Neodiprion lecontei: one gene and its partners. The protein of the gene in region 2 interacts with the protein of the main gene of each other region in a biochemical or structural test. Links are inferred from orthologs where the notes say so. Each region holds a gene or a part of one and is shown on either strand. Other genes may lie near its edges. The genes, in order: putative pre-mRNA-splicing factor ATP-dependent RNA helicase PRP1, polyubiquitin-A, ubiquitin carboxyl-terminal hydrolase 47 and peroxiredoxin-2.

Region 1 (7,648 bases), on a different chromosome or scaffold from region 2:
GAGGGCGGAAGAATTATTATCTTCTGTCCTTTAGAGAACCGATTCGAATCCGTTGACGGGACGCTTAGCCCGTTGTTTATGCTTTATTTTATGTATCCCTATGGTCTCAACGGCCGGGTGAAAACACCACGTAAGCTACGCGCAACGCGATCAAAATATGTTTAGAGCTTTGCCGTAATATGCGACGTCAGGCGAAGTATGAATTCCCGGACCACTCATAACAGACATTTCTTGAACAAGATTTTGTCAAATTTTCAACTTCACTATGACGAAGGTATGTTACCAACGTTTTGCAGGCGATAGTGTAGGTTATGAGGCACTTCTTTCACCGGCGTGGTCAGTTGCTAATTGGTTGATAATACGGGAAACTGCTAATACTCTCAAACCGACCCGACCCGGCAAACTGTTACGCAAAATAACCACTGATATAGGTATTAATATATATCAGTGAAAATATCCCAGATTATCAGACTTTATACATTCTCAGTCGACGATACAAGTAAGGGGAAAATTCTGCGAAATACATTGCATTTAAGCCACGAAGCAGAATATGAGCAATGCTGTATGAGATAGTAATTAAGGTAGTTTGTGTACGCAATTTAAGTTCCAACCTGTGTGTAGGGGCAATGCACCTGTGCAGGATGCGAGATGTATGATATTGTATTGTTACTATTGCATGTAACTTAGAATAAAATGAATAATACCAAAATAAGTTTCATCATATTTTTCCGTATATTCTCAGCTTGTGTTGATCCTACGATGCTCCAATAAATACCTTTTTTGCATGCAGTCCTTGGGGTCCAATTAGTCCAGAAAGGGCTTTTGAACAGATTCTGATTGTAAGACGAAAATTTTCCGAGCTCTGAAAATCGCAAACAAGCAAGGCTATACCCTTTTGTATTTAGACGGTCGAAATTTGGCCTATTTTGAAAAATAGTTGCATGAATTCTTTGATGCACTATATCGACGTAATTTTGCGAGAGGAATAAATTGCGCGCAGTCAGAACACGCTATGAGCTACTTCATCTTGCTTCTTCATTTTCACCATTTTTTCACACTTGCAATTAGTAATCCTAGATTTCTTAAATCTGCGAATAGAAATGTTATTGAGGTCCGTTGACCTAATCACGTGGGTTTTGACGTGCGGCATTTTCAGGGGCAACTTTTCCTGCGACGTCGTAGTGCTATTCGCGTCAATTTGACACTCTGAAAATATAGCTTGACGCAGGCCTATGACGCCACAACTCTAGTTTAGGATGCGTTCCGAAATTAGCTGGCAGCGTTAACAAACTCCCTTTGACAGAGGCAAAGCCACCCACGAACTCAGCAGTGCAAAAGAGATAAAGGATCGTCGACAGCGCTGGGAGCTAGGAACGCACCCATAATGTAGCCTGTCGGCGTCAAGTACCTTAATTTTTTTGTTTACTTTTAAACATACTTTTCACCTATTGAATTATTAATAGCCAGTGTGTATATTGCACACACCACACACACACACGGGTATATATATATTTAATTTATATAGGTATATACCTACCAATTGGTGATACGGACAATTCGAATTAATTAGTTGGTCCACAGCCAGCTAGATCTAGGAGTATCGTCTTATCCGCGGACTTGCCGCAAAAACTGCCGAGAGATTTTTAATGATCAGTAAGGCACTGACTTCGGATGTCCGCTGGTTTTGCCATTTTGTGACGCTGCTTTGCGTGTACATACATAAATAATTTGTAAACAGTATACTCGTTTAAATTAGACATTTAAATAAAGATCACACGATGTCTAAGCGGAGGATTGAAGTGGTGGATCCATATATCAAACGAAAGAAGTAAGTAACTAGCACATCTATCACCTCGGTTAAACAACTGGAAGACTAAATCTTGCCATGTGCATTGTTAAAATTCCATCGCGATCCTTCTCATTACCAAAATCTAATTTTACATCTATTCACATATATACACATATTTTTGCCTCAACTTTTTCACCCATCATTCTGAATATTTTTAACTGTATTCCACGATATCTTTAGTTCCATTCGAACTTCTATATTAGCAAGTAATGTTTTATATACATACAGTACATACATACCTGTAAGAACTACAGCAAAGGTGCTCAACTTGGATTTGATGTAATTTATTTAAAACTATGTATGCTTATTATTCACAATAAATTCACTCATTGTTCATCTTGATGCTTTACTGGTAACTCCTAACCTTAAATTGTTTCAGTTATAAAACAACGTGACAGTGATTGTTAAAATAAATGTTGTCTTACTTCTTAACAGAGATGGAACAGTCGCCAATAACATGCCAACTTCAACGGCGGCCAAAAATCAAGTTCAGCATAACCCATATACCGGTCTTCCATATACGCCACGTTATCATGAATTTTATAAGAAGAGAATAACTCTTCCAGTATTCGAGTATAGAACAGACTTCATGAGGCTCTTAGCGCTGCATCAATGCATTGTCTTAGTTGGTGAAACTGGATCTGGTAAAACTACTCAGATACCGCAATGGTGTGTCGAATACTCAAGATCTATGGGTCCGAAAGCTGTGGCTTGTACTCAGCCGAGAAGAGTAGCTGCCATGTCAGTTGCCCAGAGGGTGTCAGAAGAAATGGATGTCGCTTTGGGTACACAGATTAAAATTAATATGATTATTATTGATGAAATCAGTCACACAACATATTTTTATGCGTCGAATTATGCCTCATTATTGCAATCGAATCACAAAATTTAATAATAATTCAAGGACTATCATACAAATATTCACGCAATTGTTTCTAATATGGCCAAGTTGATGTTAAAGATAATACCGTGCTTCTTGGTAAAAGTGAAAGGTTATTTTTTCATAGGACTAGATAAACATGCGAAAAAGTACCATCGTGTCCTTCTTGACAATTTTATTCAATATCGCAACAAGTGTTATTAAAGCATGAAATACATGCCTGTATATGGCCCCATGGACTAAGGGAAGGCTTAAACAAAGTCAACATCAATCCATAATTTTCAATACACTTAGAAGATCACTTTTAGAGCATTATCTCAGTTCTGTCCTGATCCAAAATTGTAGTACCCTTTTCCATAAGAGCCAAATTTTCCGGGCCAGACAAATAGTACCGGGGCTGCAAAATGAAAAAGTGAAATGGGCAAAATTTATAAATTGAATCATCGAGTGCTATACTTTATTCAAATAATTTCGTTACCTTTTTGCAGGTCAAGAGGTAGGCTACAGCATCCGTTTTGAGGACTGCAGCTCTGCAAATACTGTGCTTAAGTACATGACGGATGGTATGCTGCTTCGAGAAGGGATGTCTGACCCCATGCTCGAAGCGTATCAAGTAATCTTATTAGATGAGGCTCATGAAAGAACACTGGCGACAGATTTATTGATGGGAGTTTTAAAAGAAGTTGTGAAACAGCGTCCAGATCTGAAACTGGTTATAATGAGTGCGACTCTAGACGCAGGAAAATTTCAACAGTACTTTGATAATGCACCATTGATGAACGTTCCTGGTCGAACGCATCCTGTAGAGATATTTTACACACCAGAACCAGAAAGGGATTATTTGGAGGCTGCAATTAGAACAGTAATACAGATTCACATGTGCGAAGAAGTGGCTGGCGACCTTCTCTTATTTTTGACTGGACAGGAGGAGATCGAGGAAGCTTGTAAGAGAATCAAGAGAGAAATGGACAATCTAGGACCTGAAGTTGGAGAGCTGAAATGCATCCCTTTATATTCTACACTTCCACCGAATCTTCAGCAAAGAATATTCGAACCCGCTCCACCTACTAAACCCAACGGAGCTATTGGAAGAAAAGTTGTAGTGTCCACAAATATTGCAGAAACTTCATTGACCATTGATGGTGTTGTTTTTGTCATTGATCCAGGGTTTGCGAAGCAAAAGGTAGTTATTTCGTCACCCACAGAAATTACAATGTTGATATGTATTGAAAAATGACAAGCTAAATCCGAATATTCTAACGAAAATGGTATCACTTACCACAGGTCTATAATCCGAGAATTCGCGTAGAATCTTTGTTGGTATCGCCAATCAGTAAAGCATCTGCGCAACAGCGAGCTGGTAGAGCAGGTCGAACTCGTCCAGGGAAATGTTTTCGGCTTTATACAGAAAGAGCATACAAAAATGAGATGCAGGACAACACGTATCCAGAAATTCTTCGTTCAAATCTCGGCAGTGTTGTTTTGCAATTGAAAAAGCTTGGAATTGATGATCTGGTAAGTAGTGCGATTCTTTTACTGTTAATAAAATGAAATGAACAATTATTTGAATCAAAATTTGAATTTTACAGGTTCATTTTGACTTCATGGATCCTCCAGCGCCTGAAACACTTATGAGAGCACTGGAGCTGCTCAACTACTTGGCGGCGCTTGATGACGACGGAAATTTAACAGACCTAGGTGCAGTTATGGCTGAATTTCCGCTCGACCCTCAGCTGGCAAAAATGTTAATAGCTTCATGTAACCATAACTGCAGTAATGAAATACTCAGCATCACCGCGATGCTTTCAGGTACTGTATTGGGGTTTGTTGATTCCATTTTAATTTTAGATTCACATAATTTTCTAACATCTCTCTTATTTAGCTTAACGTCAGCTCCAAAGTTCAGAAAATAAGAAATTCCCCATAGTCGAGGATGTTGTTCAGACATTTTCATGTGTCTTCCTTATTTAAAGCGCTAAATCAGTTATAGTCTATAGTAAGAAAATATAAAATGTATTGAAAGCTGGCAATTTACAGTAGATTCAAGTTAGGATGGTGGTGAGGTAACATGGTTATGTATTGACAATTGACATGGTATTAGTCCCACAGTGTTTTGTGAGACCAAACGAGGCTAAGAAAGCTGCAGATGACTCAAAAATGCGGTTCGCGCATATCGATGGCGATCATCTGACTCTTCTTAATGTATATCATGCCTTTAAACAGAGTAAGTAAAAAAATTAATGTCATTTACGAGGACAAGTGTGCTACAGTACAATATTCAACAATTCTAAAATCAATTGCAGCCTTTTCTCATAGTGTAAATCTATGACGTGATTGAGTGTTTAAAGCTTTTGTTACTAATTGAATGACTTTTCAAAATTGATGATTCATTCCTCATCTCTGTGTTTGTGTAATTTCTTGGCACTCGCATAAAATATGGCTGTGATTTTTCAATTATGGTTTTTCTGAAACATAAAAAATTTGAACTATGAGTGTTAACACAGAAATTTAATAATTTTCAGATATGGAAGATCCGCAATGGTGTTATGAGCATTTTGTGAACTATCGATCACTTAAGAGTGGAGATAACGTTAGACAGCAATTAAGTAGGATCATGGACAGGTTCAGTTTAAAACGTACGTCAACCGATTTCACGTCCAAAGACTATTACATAAACATCAGAAAAGCATTGGTCAACGGATTCTTCATGCAGGTAAGAAATCGAAAACATTTGTAAGAGTATTACTCTACTTGTGTTGATGCGTCTCTTTTTAATATATGAATGAAAAATTGTTCAGACAAGAAGCTTGATTCTAGCTTCCCACTGATTTGGTCTTATGAGAGTAAATCACTTTTAAGCGGAAAATGACAAAGATTAATGAATAATAATGAATTGTGATCTTTTTTTTTATACCAGGTTGCACATTTAGAAAGGACGGGACACTATCTTACAATAAAAGACAATCAGGTTGTGCAATTACATCCGAGCAGTTGCCTTGACCATAAACCTGAGTGGGTAATCTACAACGAATTCGTGCTTACGACAAAAAATTACATCAGGACAGTAACAGACATAAAACGTGAGTACCATTGTAAAAAACTTTCTTTTTTTTTTCTTCAATGAAATAGAAAAAAACCGAAACACCGAATATTCTAACAATGTATGCATATTCATTTCAGCCGATTGGTTACTTAAAATCGCACCCCAATACTACGATTTGCAGAACTTCCCTCAATGCGAAGCTAAAAGACAGCTTGAAGGTATTCAAACGCGACTAGATTCGAAACAGTATCAAGAAGGCTTCTAACGTTGTTCGCTTTTAGCCACGTTACCAATCACTAACAACGGCTGTGACCAGCCCAGTCCTTCGAGCATGTAAACTCTTTTTTTTTATTCATTAAAAAAAAACCGAAATAGAGGTAAAGCAATTTTTCAAACGATCTTAGGCCAAGTTCATCTCCTGTTACAACATAAACGTTATTCTCATAATTGGCAATGATATTCATGCTGAAGGACTTATAAACTCGATGTTTATCCTATTGCTCAGGATAAATCGTCAGGATACTTAAATCCATCAACCGCTGGATGTTACATCCAACCCTAAGTACCAGTGGGCTTAATTTATACAATTTCAAAAAAGCGTAGCTGTTTGATAGTTTTAAAAGGAAAATACAATTACAAACAGAAGAGAAATTGTTGATAGGGTCGTTCATAATGTATGTAGCCAAAGTTGATATACCTTACCGACACACACCACTGCACTATAAATAATAACTTACTATCTATCAGTTCGGATATTTAACGAAACAAATGTTATTGTTAGTTACTTTTCTTGTCACTATCCCCTTTGAAACGCAAAATCAAGTTGTCGACTGTACCCAAAAAGTGAGTACGTGATCACATCGACCAATTTTGTGATCCATTTATTATAGGATACCTCACCACCCTTTGTGTATACTGTTTTATACCTACCCAAATTGAAGTAACGAATAAATTTTATTGAATTACTATTTAGCTCACTATTCCACTTGAAAAATTGCTACACGTTGGTGACTGTTCGTCATAACACATTTATAATAATAATGGCTGTGGTCTGTATTGAAGTTTCCGTTGTTTCGCTCTGTATTACTGACAGAAGCACAGGAAAATTTTCAGAGAACAAAAAAATTAATAAAACACAAGGAACGGAAATATTGTGTCAAGTTATTCGTTCAATGTTGATTAATGATTGTTGATGTAATAGAGATTTCATTTCTTAAAAATAAGTTAAAAACTACTTTGAAATTTGGAAAAAAAAAACTAACACCAGGAGTGCAGACTGTTTTTTCGTTGAAACGTGACTTCACGTTAGGATAGAAAAAGCTTTAGCTGACACAGTTTAGCGCGTATGTGTATAATTGATCATAATGAGTTACTTTTCAATTCAATTACTTACCTATGTACATCAACGTATATTACCGTAATACCACGAGTCTACACCCCGTTCGAATTTGTATAAGTAATTATTTTAACCGCTTGGGAACGGTGATTAGAGTTTATTGAGTATTTTCAATGCACTCGTACACCTTTCCATGGATAGGGTACATTCGCATTGTTAAGATCGATATTTTCTCTTTTACGCAATAAAAAAAAAAAAGAAACTACTAACCACCATGAGTTGAAAAAATACATTATTACGGTAATGTAACTAATGATGTTTTACGTGTTTGACGCCAGATGATGGGTCGCTTTTTTCAAATTTTGTACATATAATAGCGTTTCATTATGCTGTATCACTTCATTCCAATAAAACGAAGTATACCTGTAACATTTATGCATTTTTATCATTCTTATTTCAATTTCATGGTTTTTACTTGTGCACGTTTTAATGATGTTCAACTAAGTCGTGCTCAAAGGATGATGAGGTTTTAAAACTCGT
Region 2 (5,035 bases):
TTAGTGGTCTCTTATCTTCGGTTCGATAACGTTGTTTTCGACATTCTGCATAAGTAAATATTATCAGGTTGTTGTAAACTTGTCAACAACTTGTAGCGCTACACATGAAAATCGTATGTAACACATGCACATCGAACACATGTACAGTTAGTACAGTCATTTCCCTATTCCGATGCGTATACAGTCACCCCCCACTCCACGTGGCTCTCGCTTTCGACACCAGCAGCGCGAGCTTTTAGCAATTAATTATTTCGCAGAAATTTTCCTCTACTCTCGCCCCTCGGCAGGGCCATATATCTAACGTCCGTTGTATTGCGATGGGTAATTAATGGGCGCTTTCATAGTAATTTCCGCTGACGCATGTATTGATTACGACACATGAATCACAATTTCAGTTTGACACAGAAATGAGATGACTTGAAAAAATTATTTCGAATGTAATATGTAGGTCCTTCTTATTAATGCGATAAAGAAAGATCGTAAATGATATGAAATGAATCCTAGTCGACTTTGTCGTATCTCGTGTTATCACCTACTGAACGTGTTTTGGGATTTCATGTATTCTAAAACTCTTCTGCCAAGAGTGATTAATTAAGGTAAATTTGTATTTTCAAAGCTTTTTGCGAAAAAAACATAGTGTCGTAATTTTTTTTACCTGCGTATGCATCAATTTACGACGTGAAACCTCGGGGAGAAATAGCACGCTTACAGTAGACTGGGAGAAAAGCTCTAGTTTACTAATAATAACCATGCGAATGTAAACATTTCCGCGAATGTCTATTGCTCGACATTGGTCAACAAGATTGTAGGTCAACATTATTTGCGTCGTTGCCATGGTCGTAACCAAGTTTATAACACGGAATAAATAATGTTATCTATTTTTTCGAAAAGATGCTCGATGTAAAAATGACTCATGGATTGCATCGAAATGAACATGAAAAAAGGTTCGCGGTCTATGACACACAACACAATTTACATCGACACCTCGAATGTTGCGTCAGTTTCGATAAAATGTGACCAACCAAAAAACTCTCATCGATGCGAGAAATTTTTAATTGGTTACTATTCAATGCTTGTCGAATTTCTAGACTACAAACTTTGTCAGCATTTTTGGGGAACAGCATTATTGAATGCATCCGAGATAATATAAAGATCTTGTAACATATGCACATTGTAAATTTATAGGTGCTGCTAAATGAACCGCTTTACAATGTGTTATCATCTAAATGTATTATACTGTTGTACGGTAAATTATGCGCTCGTTTCATCAAAAACGTCAACGTTTGCGTTGAAAAATGAAGAACATTCTTTTGTTCAAACAAATGAACAGCAGCTGATAGTTTATGTGTTTCGGACATTTTTAACGTAACTATCCTTGAGTTTGTGCCTTATGGTGCCATCTGGTCTCCAGCAACGAAAGACCAATATCAAGAAAATGTAAAAAGAGTTTCGGTTACTCCGCTTATACTTTGTGAAATTCGCAGTGGTCAAACAAATATTTTAATCATAAAAACGAGCACGTTCCAGATACCGCATCAATTTAATGGTAGATAAGGTATTTTTACTCACAGTGAGCAAAGAATATTCTAGAGATCGCTTTGTTCCACAAACCAATGAGATTCGTCGACGTTAGTTCAAGGTACGTGACGCAGCTGAATTTCAGCCAATAGGAACGTCCGCGCAGGTTCGTTCGCACCAATCACGCGTTTCTTCTCCATTGGCTCGGGTGTCTATAAATGCCAGATGCAGGGTGGCCCAGATATTTAGTTACGAAGCTGACGCCGAGTTTGTACGAGCAGTCTATTCGAAGTCATTAATAGTGCAGTTTTTGCGTTGCATTTAATCGCGTTATTAATAAGTTTCACAACAGGTAAATATCAAATATCCGTTCAATTCCTTCCCCGAGTTTTTCTTTGGTGTGGAAAACTGTACTGCCTCCTTTGTTCACGGCTTTGTTTCACAACCGTCCTTTGTCGACATGTCGCCATTAGTTTTCCATCATTGATCAGAATCTGCAGGTCTCAAACCTAACGGTACTACTTCAACTCGTCACTATTATTACTGCGTTTAGTATTTCTTCACGGATTAAACTGATTTCCAAGTTTTTCCTATCAGCTCTCGAAAGTTTTAGATTTAATCGATTTTCGCCCTCAATTCCGTTGTTGCGCTGTCCGCCATTTTGTGAAAACTGCCAAACTTATTGATCCACGCCATCCACCCAGCACTCATCAATCAGACGACACCGTTCTTACATCGTGTTTTCGTCGTTTCAGATAAACATGCAGATTTTTGTCAAGACCTTGACGGGGAAGACCATCACCCTCGAAGTTGAAGCATCTGATACGATCGAAAATGTGAAGGCCAAGATTCAGGACAAAGAGGGAATTCCACCAGACCAGCAGAGATTGATCTTTGCAGGAAAACAGCTCGAAGATGGCCGCACCCTTTCCGATTATAACATCCAAAAGGAATCCACCCTCCATCTAGTCCTTCGTCTTCGCGGAGGTATGCAGATCTTCGTGAAGACCTTAACTGGCAAAACCATCACCCTTGAAGTTGAGGCTTCTGACACGATTGAAAATGTGAAAGCAAAGATCCAGGACAAAGAGGGAATCCCACCAGACCAGCAGAGATTAATCTTTGCCGGAAAACAGCTCGAGGATGGCCGCACTCTTTCCGATTATAACATCCAGAAGGAATCTACTCTTCATCTGGTCCTTCGTCTCCGCGGAGGTATGCAGATCTTCGTCAAGACCTTAACTGGCAAAACTATTACCCTTGAAGTAGAGGCTTCGGACACAATTGAAAACGTGAAGGCGAAAATTCAAGACAAGGAGGGAATCCCACCAGACCAGCAGAGGTTGATCTTTGCCGGCAAACAGCTTGAGGATGGCCGTACGCTTTCTGATTACAACATCCAGAAAGAATCAACTCTTCATCTTGTCCTTCGTCTCCGCGGAGGTATGCAAATCTTTGTCAAGACCCTAACTGGCAAAACCATCACGTTGGAAGTCGAGGCCTCCGACACTATTGAAAATGTAAAGGCAAAGATTCAAGACAAAGAGGGAATTCCTCCAGATCAGCAGCGTTTGATTTTCGCCGGCAAGCAGCTTGAAGACGGACGTACTTTGTCGGACTACAATATTCAAAAAGAATCCACCTTACATTTAGTTCTTCGACTGAGAGGTGGAATGCAAATTTTCGTTAAGACTCTCACTGGCAAAACCATCACGTTGGAAGTTGAGGCCTCCGACACTATTGAAAATGTAAAGGCGAAAATTCAAGACAAGGAGGGAATTCCTCCAGACCAGCAGCGTTTGATCTTTGCTGGCAAGCAGCTTGAAGACGGACGGACCTTATCAGACTACAATATCCAGAAAGAATCTACTCTTCACTTGGTTCTCCGACTACGTGGTGGGATGCAAATTTTTGTCAAAACATTAACTGGAAAGACAATCACTTTGGAGGTTGAGGCTTCGGACACTATTGAGAATGTGAAGGCTAAAATTCAGGACAAAGAGGGAATTCCTCCAGACCAGCAGCGTTTGATCTTTGCTGGAAAACAACTCGAAGATGGCCGCACTCTTTCGGACTACAACATCCAAAAAGAATCCACCCTGCACCTTGTCCTTCGGCTGCGAGGAGGGATGCAAATTTTTGTGAAGACTCTTACTGGCAAAACCATTACCTTGGAAGTCGAGGCCTCCGACACAATTGAGAACGTAAAAGCAAAAATCCAAGACAAAGAAGGCATTCCACCAGACCAACAGCGACTCATCTTTGCTGGAAAGCAGCTTGAAGATGGACGAACCTTGTCTGACTACAACATTCAAAAGGAATCAACCTTACATCTGGTTTTAAGGCTGCGTGGAGGTATGCAAATTTTTGTCAAAACTCTTACTGGAAAGACAATTACTTTGGAAGTCGAGGCATCTGATACAATAGAGAACGTGAAAGCAAAAATTCAAGACAAGGAGGGAATCCCACCAGACCAGCAGAGATTAATTTTTGCTGGAAAACAGCTGGAAGATGGGCGTACTCTTTCCGACTATAATATTCAAAAGGAGTCCACCCTTCATCTAGTTCTCCGACTACGTGGCGGTATGCAGATCTTTGTCAAAACCTTGACCGGCAAAACTATCACCTTGGAGGTTGAGGCGTCTGACACAATTGAAAATGTCAAGGCCAAAATCCAAGACAAAGAAGGAATTCCTCCAGACCAGCAGAGGTTAATATTCGCAGGGAAACAGCTGGAAGATGGGCGTACCCTTTCAGACTACAACATTCAGAAGGAGTCTACTCTTCATCTGGTTCTTCGGCTCCGTGGTGGATCTCTCTAAAGTCAAGCTGGAAAATTCCAATATCTGATCTCGCTGATATGATCTAAATGAAAAATTGATAGTATTGATAGCGTTATTGAATTTTTTTTACTTTACCCAATAATAGTGCTTTCACCAAAATGTGATAATATTGATTTATGCTTCAGCATCTAATAAAGAATTCAGTTTAAAATGTGACTATTATGCATTCATTCCTTCCCTACTGAACTCTTAATACTTACTGTTGTTTTCATTTCAGTATTTGGTTTCCTTTTTTTTATTGTATATAAACTGATTTTTATTTTTCGCTTATTCAATAAACTGAGTAATACATCAAGTACAGGTCGTTTGATTTACATGGTATTATTATTTATTATTGATGAGCATCAAGTTGATGACATGAAGCTACTCATTTTTAGGATTAAGATTGTCATTTACTACTTTGATTGACTGACATATTCATTAATTAATTCAAATATACTCATACTTTGGAAACTCAACTCTTGAAAACTCAGTGGAGAAATTGCAAAATATAGATTTCCGTTGACTTTATATTATCTCTAATCAACGATATAGGTTTCGACGAATGCTCATAACTTCGATAACTGCAACATCGGGAATATTGATTAGGGATTTCGGTGCTATTTTATTCCAACATCGAATAACAATTAAAACATGGTGTCAAATTTTTAAGCTCCAAATTTTATTTTTATACG
Region 3 (5,027 bases), on a different chromosome or scaffold from region 2:
CTTATTAACAGATTTCAGGCAGACAAAATTTGGCAGCTCGCCATGGTGAAGGTAGAAAATCAGCGAGATCTGTGTGATGGAGTGGGATATCGCTGCTCTGCAGAGCAAGGTAGACTACAGGAGCCTATACACCCTGCAGCTATATTTAGCTGATCTAAACCAAGAGTTTGAAAATGGCTCTCTTCTCTGAGATCAGTACCACCTCCCCTTCACATATTTACACTGCGCATTGCTTTTACTCGCCTTCACAAGCACACTAATACCTAAGCCTCTCTTACACTGTTGTTGGATAGTTGTTTTTCGAGTTGTGTAATCGTCCTCATCGTCACCCCAAACTTTCCGCACTATGTATATTTATCTCGGCTAATATATATATTTCTGTACATACATATTGACGAGATAATTATCTGGGAATATGAGGGCAAACTGATTCGCAAAACCTGTGACGAGTCTTTGTTCATTTTGCATCAAATATTTTCATTAAAATCAATAAATCGGATGGAAAAGGAATATTATCGGTGGAAATGAAGAAGAATAAAACCTGTGCATGCATGTCAGTACCTGATATTTGCAATTTTTTTAAAGACAACAGGATGGTGCGAAATTCTGTTACAGAAGTTATCAGCCCTGGATACAGTGAAATCTGTTTTTTTTCTTCATATGCTATAGGTTCAAAATCACAACCGATGAACACAGACACATTACTGATTAATTACAAGGATGGTCAAATTGTGAAAAATACTACAGTGAAAATCAATTTAATAAACTATGTCTGCTACTAGTGGAGTCGGATCTGCATTTCCGAACTCGGAATTCGATATCTTGAAAATCATTGAGCCGGTTGGGCTCAAATTCATGGATTAACTGATTATCGGCATTATCTGAATACACTTACTGTAAACATGAGAATCTGATAATGTACGTCGGTTAGTGATAGATAAAATACCGAAGAGTTTTGATAAGATCGAATTTCAATATTTTGAAAATTCATATCTTACATATCTGTATTGATTCATTGAAATTATCTCATTCCTTTGCATATTCAAACTTCTGATGGAAGTGTTTTATAAACAAGCAACTTTTCTAAACTGTTAACTTTTCTTTCTAGTAAAGTACTCTGAATAAGAGACCCGTACTATAATTTGCTGAAGGGAGATTAGTTCATTTCGCCGTAAGTTTTCCTAACAACAAGTGATGACATAGAAACTGAAAAATCAAGTACTAGCATTTTAGAATAGTTAAATTGCTACATTGTCGTAGAAAAAGTGTAACAGAGGCATAAGCATATAACTATTTTCATGCAGATACGCTACAAGGATGGCCACAAAACTCAAGGCACCGATTTCCAGACTTTGCCAACACTCCGTCACAAAAATTAAATCCTCCTGTTACATAAAAAAATTTTGCACAAATTGTAAAATTACTTGATAAATTTCTGTTTTCAAGGTTTTCAAACCCTCTTAATATACGTTTTTGTTAATAATGTTTTCTTGACTCTTTTCTCAGTATAAAAACAGGAAATAATATCTGCTTTCTCAATTTTGTAATGCGAAATCATCTGTAGAAGCTTGTTGAAATCTAAATTTATGTAAATAATGTTTGAAAAACAGTATCAAGTGGTTATATTTTCTCTTAAACTGAATTTCAGTGGATTTAGTGGAAGTCTTGAGCAACTGGTCAATAGTGTAAATGAAATTTTCATTTCTTTTTCTTTTACGACATGTAAATAAGTATGGACGATGTGACAAGATTTTCAAATATCCCGTAGTTAATTACTACTTACATCAAAATCCACGGTCATCCTTGTGATGTAATAAATACGTCATATAGGTATCTACAATAAATTCGTACTATTGAATCATTAGGTACACAAAAATAGGTGATAACAAGCAAACGAAATATAGAAAACAAGTACAAAAATACATACTTCAATGTTTAATCACTCAAAAATCTAATCTTGAATTACATACCACCAAATAAATAGCCAAATAGTAACCATCAAATAAATGCACAGGACATTAAATGATTATGAAAAAGCAAAATTTCTAGGTCTCTTACTTCCAACACTCAACTCTGAAATCTAGGGACAATCATCGCAATTGGATACCTTTCGATGGCTATTCGAATCTCCTGTCTCGATCGACGGCAACAAAAGAATCTCGTCACATTGTTAACAGGTTATGGAGGAGAGTGAACATGCTTTACAGTGCTTAGTTTTACTGAAAAGGTTTCAAAGAAGGCAAATCTCACCTAGTCTTTCCTTTCTCTCTTGGTGATAGTGAAAATATTTGAATCGATTTCAACCTTTGGTAATGCGCTGAAGCTGCTTGAGATCTGTAGGAAGAGAAAAAAGAAAAAACCAACAAGGTTACGTCGAATGTATGTAGATATATACGTCATGGTAGTTGGCAAGTAGGGGCTGCTAATTTATTTTTACGTTAAGTGAATAAATAAATATTAAAAATAATGAAGGAAATCTGAAGGCGTAAGATCGGGGAGATTGCGTGCCAGTAGAACAAGTGAGCAAAAGTAGATTCGACGTTGTGAAGACGCCGGTATTTATATTCCTTCAAATCAAATTCCGTATAACTAGTCTTACGTAATTAGGCAGATGTTGTGAAAAAAAGATTACGTATTCGTACAGCAAGGTGAGTTTGAAAATGAAATGAAAAGAATTTGAGAAAAAAGAAAAGGAGGTAATAGAGTAACGAGAAAATGTTTATTACAAAGTTTCTCTCAAATGGCTGAACAACCGACGTCAGAAATATGCGTCCTGAACATGATTTTACCGTGAAGTTATGTAACTATTTAAAATGAGAAAATCTTTATACTCGGTAAAAATAATTGCGCAGTGAGTCCTATTGCGAGGAATACGTTTTTACGCTTGCACCGAGTATAAACTATCGTCAAAAAATCACTTACCGAATTCACTGACACATGTGTAGCAATCACGTTACGCCATATTTCTTTTTTTTTAATTTAATTTTTTCTTTTCATGGCCTAGCAAGTCCGTGGACCTAGCTTGGATCAAGCTACCACGGAACAAGCATTGACTACAAATTGTTGAGATAACCGCTTAGAGTCACGCTTTTTGAAGTTCGGCAAGATACTATGTGAAGTTAGCCGGCGATCTTTGAATTTGTTAAAAATGCATTGCGGGAACCTCTTAAATGATTCGCAGATATTGCAAAATCGCAGAATTTCCAAAGAATCCATGTGACAAATAACTTTGCGTAACCAGTCCGCGGGTAAGTGGGTCTCAGTGGGCCCTGGGTAGGCCCGGGGCCATAAGAAACCGTGTTGGTGATACGGTAGCTTTTTCATCGGCGAGAGCCATTTAGCACGCAATCCCGAAAGACACAAAACCCAGTTTTCAGTAATCGTCTAAGCACAAATGAGCCAGCCTTGGGTAATTCAAAAGTTCGTTCTGTTCACAAATAATTTACCAACTATATTTTATTACAATCAATTGTGGCTTATTATGACTTCGCAAAACATACGATTCCCAGAGAGCTCGATAGGAAAAAGTCGAAAGCCATGCAAAGCGTACATTTATAGAAGAAAATTAAAAATAGCAAGGATCATGGTGTTGACTTAAGAATATATTTGCAAGCGATGCAAAGTTTATGTAAAAACACTTCTTTGCAGCATAGTTGCGAGCGTACAACTCAATAAAAAGGGAAAGAACCCTGCATTCTGGTGTTGTAACATTCTAACGAGACGATCTTCTAACGATTATTCATATCCCGCAAGTTTTCCCTTACAACGTTCGAACAAAGTGTAAAGTTGTGAAAAAGAATATTATTGATTAAAAGTTGCAAGATGCAAACTGTAAAATTCTGAAAGTCCTAAAATTTAAGGTTGTCAAAAATTAGCGCCAATATTCGAAGTAGATTCAATGAGTGGCCAATCAACGTGGGTCATCGCGATACTCTACCTACAATTATTGGAGGCAGATTCGACCGCCATTAACCGCCATCGGTTGCTGACACTCAAGGATATTTAATTAACACAGGCTGTTAGCCAAATACCGATTGATGTTGAAAGACGCGTTGACTGTTTACCGATGAGATTAAGCAGATTGAGAAGATTTCCGATTTCCCGTTTGTTCTCACTAGGACACCGACCCTAACAGAACGGAGCGTAAATAAGTGAGCACTCCAAAGGAGTGAAACCAAGTCATAAGTCCTTTGGCAACATCGATGGTTCGGTAAAAAAGTATAAACGTGATATTTTTCCAATTACCTACTATGATCACCGCTTTTTTGTTGTTAATTTCAAGTTTCAACCATTGCTAATCCCGCATTGCACCTTCATCTCTTCTTCTAAATGTATAACCTGTCCGACTTCGTTAAAAATGGAAAACAGTGAGTTGATTTTTATCTTTCTCTTTCCGTTTCCAAGGAATAAGCCCTTTAAATTTACCGTTAACCGTTTACCCCACATCTGATACTGTTTTCTGCCTCATTTATATGCTTTAATTTGTTTCACCCTGTCTTGTCAGCAAACGATTAACCATCGATTAAATTACTATTCACAGACACAGTTGATCAAAAAATGGCAAAGATTTTGAGGAAACACTTGCACGCAGCTATCATTCAACATCGAGCTTGATGTACACTTATAATCCAATTCTTATTATTAATTGAATATTGATTATGTTAGATGAAGAAGAGATGGAGGTTCAAGAAGCAGATGAGCCAGTAATCCTGGCTCCTGATAATCGTGTCAACACTCCTATACGGGAAGTGGTACACATATCAGAACCAGAGACAGACCAAGAAGCTCAGGTTATTGAGCATAGTGAACCAATAACCTTTCGATCTGTACAAGGGGAAGAGAATGTACCAATTTTCCAAAAACCACAAGCAAACAACAATAACGAAGAGCTTCTCGAAATTGGTGAGTTATTTAGTAATATTCAAAGGTGCAGTAAGCACTTACATATTGTTTCATCATAGTATCAAGTCATGTTTCCTTTGACATCTCAAAGTCATATGAAATATTTGACATTGATTCAAGGTCCA
Region 4 (4,229 bases), on a different chromosome or scaffold from region 2:
ATCATCTTACTCACTGCAAAGAATACCAGCTTCGTGATCGTGTCCACATGTGTGACAAGTCAAAATGTTTGTTTTCGGTGACAACAATTTCGAAATATACTTAGGGTTTCCAAAGCGTCGTTTCCATCTTTTTTCAATTGTTCGCTTATGTGTGGGAACACCCCACAGAAAACCATTATCAATAATATTCTCTATGGAAAATGGACTTCTTCGAGGGATCGGCTGCGGCCAATTTTGCCCCTCATTCAATTCGACGACACATAACGCTTCTGAAATTATTAATGATCTATTGGTACAGACAATACAATCGACTCCGAGCTATTTTGAATTATGATAGTCAGACCTCCATGCACACCAAAATCATACATAATCTGTTATTTACAAATTGACTGATTATACTTTTCATGGAGTGAAACCCATGACAATCATCTCGGACATGTAGCCAACAAACGCACGTCACTAACAGCTTATTTATTTACAGGCATTCATTCATTCGGATATTTTGTCCGAGATTTTGTCACCGGCTGAACGCTCCGATATAGTTTCACGTGAAATAGAGCTTCCAGGTTAAGACGGGCAAAAAGTGAGGTTGGAATATCGGTATTTTCATTGTTAGGCCTCGACACGACCCTCCTAACTTTGAGAAAAAGGATAATAGTAACTTCCGTACCTGGAGGAAATCTCCGACTCAGAATATTCACAATTATGTTATCAAATCTCTGTAAAGCAATCTGAACGCGATTTACCAGGCCGGACGCCATGTTTCTAGTCGCAAGTATTACTTCGTGATTCCGATATTCGATACTCGACACGAACAAAACAACCCAGATCGATCAGCTGGACTCGATATTCGAGCTATTATATTTTCGCGTCAAATGTGAGATCATAAACGAATAACGATTGTTATATTGAAAATACGCACGACACTTTGAGCTCTGGAATGAATCGCATAATACGTTAGAAGTTACTTATGACCCAATGGAGGCGACGATTAATCACAAACGATTTTTTCCTACCCGTCGTTAATGCAGCGGATCAAAAAACCAGCAATAACCTAACCGCGTTATAATGAGTGGCGTTTTGCAGGAGACTTGGACAATATTATTCTGCGTCGGAATCGTCGTATTGAACATGTACTACCACGTTTATTATTCAGATCCCAGTTTATTCGGAAATGCTTTGTACGTTCCGCATACTGCCGCGCTCACGGCGTCCGCAGGGATCGTCCTCAATGACAATGCAAGTAAATATAACGATGTTTCGATTGGAACACATTGATTTTTGATATTCTGCAGACCTTGCTCGACAGCCTGAAATAGGAACCACGAGACAAGAATATATACATGCAGTGTATTTTTAATAACAAAGACATGAGTAATGAGGGGAAAACTAATTGTGAAGATTTTCATGGATTTCCACACCTCAAAATGAACCCTAAACAATCTCGCACGTGATTAGTTGACGATCTAAGACGGCCTTATGTTCCAGGCACGCGATTGGTTCTTAGAGATGCCTGAGCAAGAGCATTACTCGTGTCAGGAACGCACCCTAATCATGTTGTATCGTGAATCCACATAAGAGAAATGCATGCGCGCGATTTCAGTATAATCGCGTACCAAATTCAAATATAGGAAGTATTTCAAAATCTAATAACGAACATTCTTGTGACGCTGAAAGCCGCAGTTTGAATTACACAGAATTGGATAGATCAATTTGTTACAGTAATCCTCAGATAACTTGGGAGTAACGGGTATTATCGATACTGAACTGTTGTCATTATTCAGTGACCACCAATCGGGTTTCTCCCTTCGTCGTGCGTAGGATGCATGCTTCCAATCTTCAATGCGTCACATGGAAAGCGGGCTTACGACTTTGGATTCGCGTATTCCTTTTTTGTTGATTCGTAGGTCAAGCGCGAAGCGGCGGACGGCGACGCCGGGGCGCTGTTTTTTTTCGAAGCGGGTTTTAAGAAACAAGTAAGATTAAAAAAGTGGGCGTATAGATTAGAACGAGAGAATAAAGTGGAGCGTTGTAACAAGTGCGTACGTGCAGAATCGTTCGAAGATGCGGCTACTGATTATTCTCGTTACAATCGCATTTTCGTGCTTTGTTACGAAAAGTGAGGGCTTATTCGGTGAGGATGAAGCGTGTTACTCGTTCGCTGGTGGCACCGTATATCCAACCGGTACCAAACACGCGGGTCACCAGTTGCAGACAACTCAAGCAGTCAGTGAGTTGAGCGAAATATTTTTATTTGTTGGGGCCGAAAATTCATTAGCGAATTTATCTTCATGTCTTTCCTAAAACTGGCGAGAATAATGCGATGAGAAATCAAGGAAATGTCACGACATTGAATACTTGATAGTTATTGATATCAGCAAAAAAGTACAGTTATCTTCTTTACGAGAATTCAATCTCGTTTTCCTCAATTCATCTCAATATGGGACTTTTGAATACCAACCATTTGAAATTGTAATTTATTACACCTTATTGACAATATTAACAGCAGGTGTATTAAATTCGTATCATCATCTTATCTAATCTCTGATTAGGTGGTGGGATTAGCACTGATTCCAATACATATTGACCTGTTTCTTGTAAAAAAAAAATCTAAATTAACCATGCGTACCGTTTGTTTCAGTTGGAAAACAAGCACCGTTCTGGGAAGGTACGGCTGTTCTTGGAGGCGAATTTAAAGAAATTAAGCTCACGGATTACAAGGGAAAATATTTAGTATTTTTTTTTTATCCGTTGGATTTGTAAGTTCACAGTCTCTGGAATGGGAATGAAATTTTTTTTTTTAAATTTACCGACATTTATTTAGATTTTCTGAATTTTCAGCACCTTTGTTTGCCCCACGGAAATTCTTGCTTTTTCGGATCGATTAAATGAATTTAAGAAATTGAACACTGAGGTCATTGCTGCATCTGTTGACTCACAGTTCACTCACCTCGCCTGGATAAACACGCCTAGAAAGGAAGGAGGTCTTGAAAATATTAAAATTCCCTTGCTTTCCGATCTCACTCATAAGATATCAAAGGATTATGGAGTTTACTTGGAAGATCTTGGACATACTTTGAGGTAACGTGATCACACATTTGAGGCTTTACTTCGCAACCTGTAAAGGTAGTTTGACTTATTTATTTATTTTTTTTTCATGTTTGTTTTTATGTTTCATATAAAAATGCAAATGACGTATCGCCAAATATTTTTTCATTCTATTTACAGAGCTCTTTTCATCATCGATGGTAAAGGAGTACTGCGCCAAATTACAATGAATGATCTCCCTGTCGGACGATCAGTCGATGAAACTTTGAGGCTCGTACAAGCATTCCAATATACAGATGAACACGGTGAAGTTTGCCCGGCTGGCTGGAAACCAGGACAAGACACGGTAAGTATCAGAATATTGAGGCAATTTGGTACCTGCAGTACTGTATTTGTTAATTTTTACACACGTAAGTAACGACTCTTATTAACGAACATGATTTTTGTATTTCAGATCATTCCGAATCCGGTGGATAAGAAGAAATTCTTTGCGAAAAATCTCAACTGATTAATTATCATGCTGATTATATTGCATATTTTTTCATAATTTCAAGAAATAAAAAAATCTACCCTTGATTAACTACATTTGTAACAACGAAATCTTTTACTTGCTCAAAATTAGCATAATAAACTATTTGGATTGAAGTTTTTTAATGACGTACTGAAGATTCACGACACTGTCGTTGATTGGATGTTGTTCTTGAAAGATACGTGTGTATATATTACCTAAATTTAACGGTCAATTCTTCTTCCCACTTCTCGGACTGGAGAGTGTGATAAGCTGTACCCTACGCGGAGTTTTAGCTGCTATCACATTAGGAACTATTGGTTTTGGAGGTGTTTTTTTAACAATGTCACTTATATTTTCTGTGTTACTTTCTTCTGTGTAAACAAGTTTTATATCTTCCGTCTCTTCAAGAACTACGTCATCAACATCTGTCGACTTTGTATTTTGGACGTTTTTCACAAGTTTATCATCTTTATTACCATTATTCGCCTCTTCGCTAAAGTCAGATGCTTTCACAGGTTTCGTAATGTCAATATCCATTGCGTCACTGCACATATCAATAATGAATTCAGTCTTCTCGGCATTATTAGTCTTACGCTTTGATTTGGATGAATTTGAATGCACAGATTTCGTTTCTGTCGTGTCATTTATGTTTACCAAACTAGATTCATAC

What was found.
Region 1: the proteins of polyubiquitin-A (region 2) and putative pre-mRNA-splicing factor ATP-dependent RNA helicase PRP1 form a complex in vitro, tested with the Homo sapiens proteins (2 studies listed by BioGRID). The link is inferred for Neodiprion lecontei from reciprocal best matches to the Homo sapiens genes UBC and DHX15.
Region 3: the proteins of polyubiquitin-A (region 2) and ubiquitin carboxyl-terminal hydrolase 47 form a complex in vitro, tested with the Homo sapiens proteins (2 studies listed by BioGRID, with this or other methods). The link is inferred for Neodiprion lecontei from reciprocal best matches to the Homo sapiens genes UBC and USP47.
Region 4: the proteins of polyubiquitin-A (region 2) and peroxiredoxin-2 form a complex in vitro, tested with the Homo sapiens proteins (2 studies listed by BioGRID). The link is inferred for Neodiprion lecontei from reciprocal best matches to the Homo sapiens genes UBC and PRDX4.

The regions. Positions count from the first base shown.
Region 1 is NC_060264.1:26,638,454-26,646,101, forward strand, and holds the start of putative pre-mRNA-splicing factor ATP-dependent RNA helicase PRP1, read left to right. Parts: upstream 1-1,647; 5' UTR 1,648-1,778; coding exon 1,779-1,828; intron 1,829-1,998; exon of another isoform or gene 1,999-2,128; intron 2,129-2,284; coding exon 2,285-2,634; intron 2,635-3,217; coding exon 3,218-3,912; intron 3,913-4,013; coding exon 4,014-4,244; intron 4,245-4,318; coding exon 4,319-4,538; intron 4,539-4,830; coding exon 4,831-4,953; intron 4,954-5,251; coding exon 5,252-5,442; intron 5,443-5,646; coding exon 5,647-5,809; intron 5,810-5,909; coding exon 5,910-6,037; 3' UTR 6,038-7,648.
Region 2 is NC_060262.1:18,755,694-18,760,728, forward strand, and holds polyubiquitin-A, read left to right. Parts: upstream 1-1,714; 5' UTR 1,715-1,870; intron 1,871-2,273; 5' UTR 2,274-2,279; coding exon 2,280-4,340; 3' UTR 4,341-4,517; downstream 4,518-5,035.
Region 3 is NC_060261.1:10,713,432-10,718,458, forward strand, and holds the start of ubiquitin carboxyl-terminal hydrolase 47, read right to left. Parts: upstream 3,037-5,027; 5' UTR 2,923-3,036; intron 2,746-2,922; exon of another isoform or gene 2,727-2,745; intron 2,649-2,726; exon of another isoform or gene 2,514-2,648; intron 2,335-2,513; 5' UTR 2,251-2,334; intron 1,835-2,250; 5' UTR 1,802-1,834; coding exon 1,784-1,801; intron 127-1,783; exon of another isoform or gene 1-126. Other genes in the region: E3 ubiquitin-protein ligase RFWD3, read left to right, coding at 4,358-4,367, 4,666-4,902. UniProt on the Homo sapiens protein: Ubiquitin-specific protease that specifically deubiquitinates monoubiquitinated DNA polymerase beta (POLB), stabilizing POLB thereby playing a role in base-excision repair (BER). Acts as a regulator of cell growth and genome integrity.
Region 4 is NC_060260.1:4,635,762-4,639,990, forward strand, and holds peroxiredoxin-2, read left to right. Parts: upstream 1-1,896; 5' UTR 1,897-2,064; coding exon 2,065-2,230; intron 2,231-2,641; coding exon 2,642-2,759; intron 2,760-2,841; coding exon 2,842-3,081; exon of another isoform or gene 3,082-3,228; coding exon 3,229-3,394; intron 3,395-3,502; coding exon 3,503-3,556; 3' UTR 3,557-3,693; downstream 3,694-4,229. Other genes in the region: 39S ribosomal protein L32, mitochondrial, read right to left, coding at 15-269, 671-761; chromatin assembly factor 1 subunit B, read right to left, coding at 3,788-4,229. UniProt on the Homo sapiens protein: Thiol-specific peroxidase that catalyzes the reduction of hydrogen peroxide and organic hydroperoxides to water and alcohols, respectively.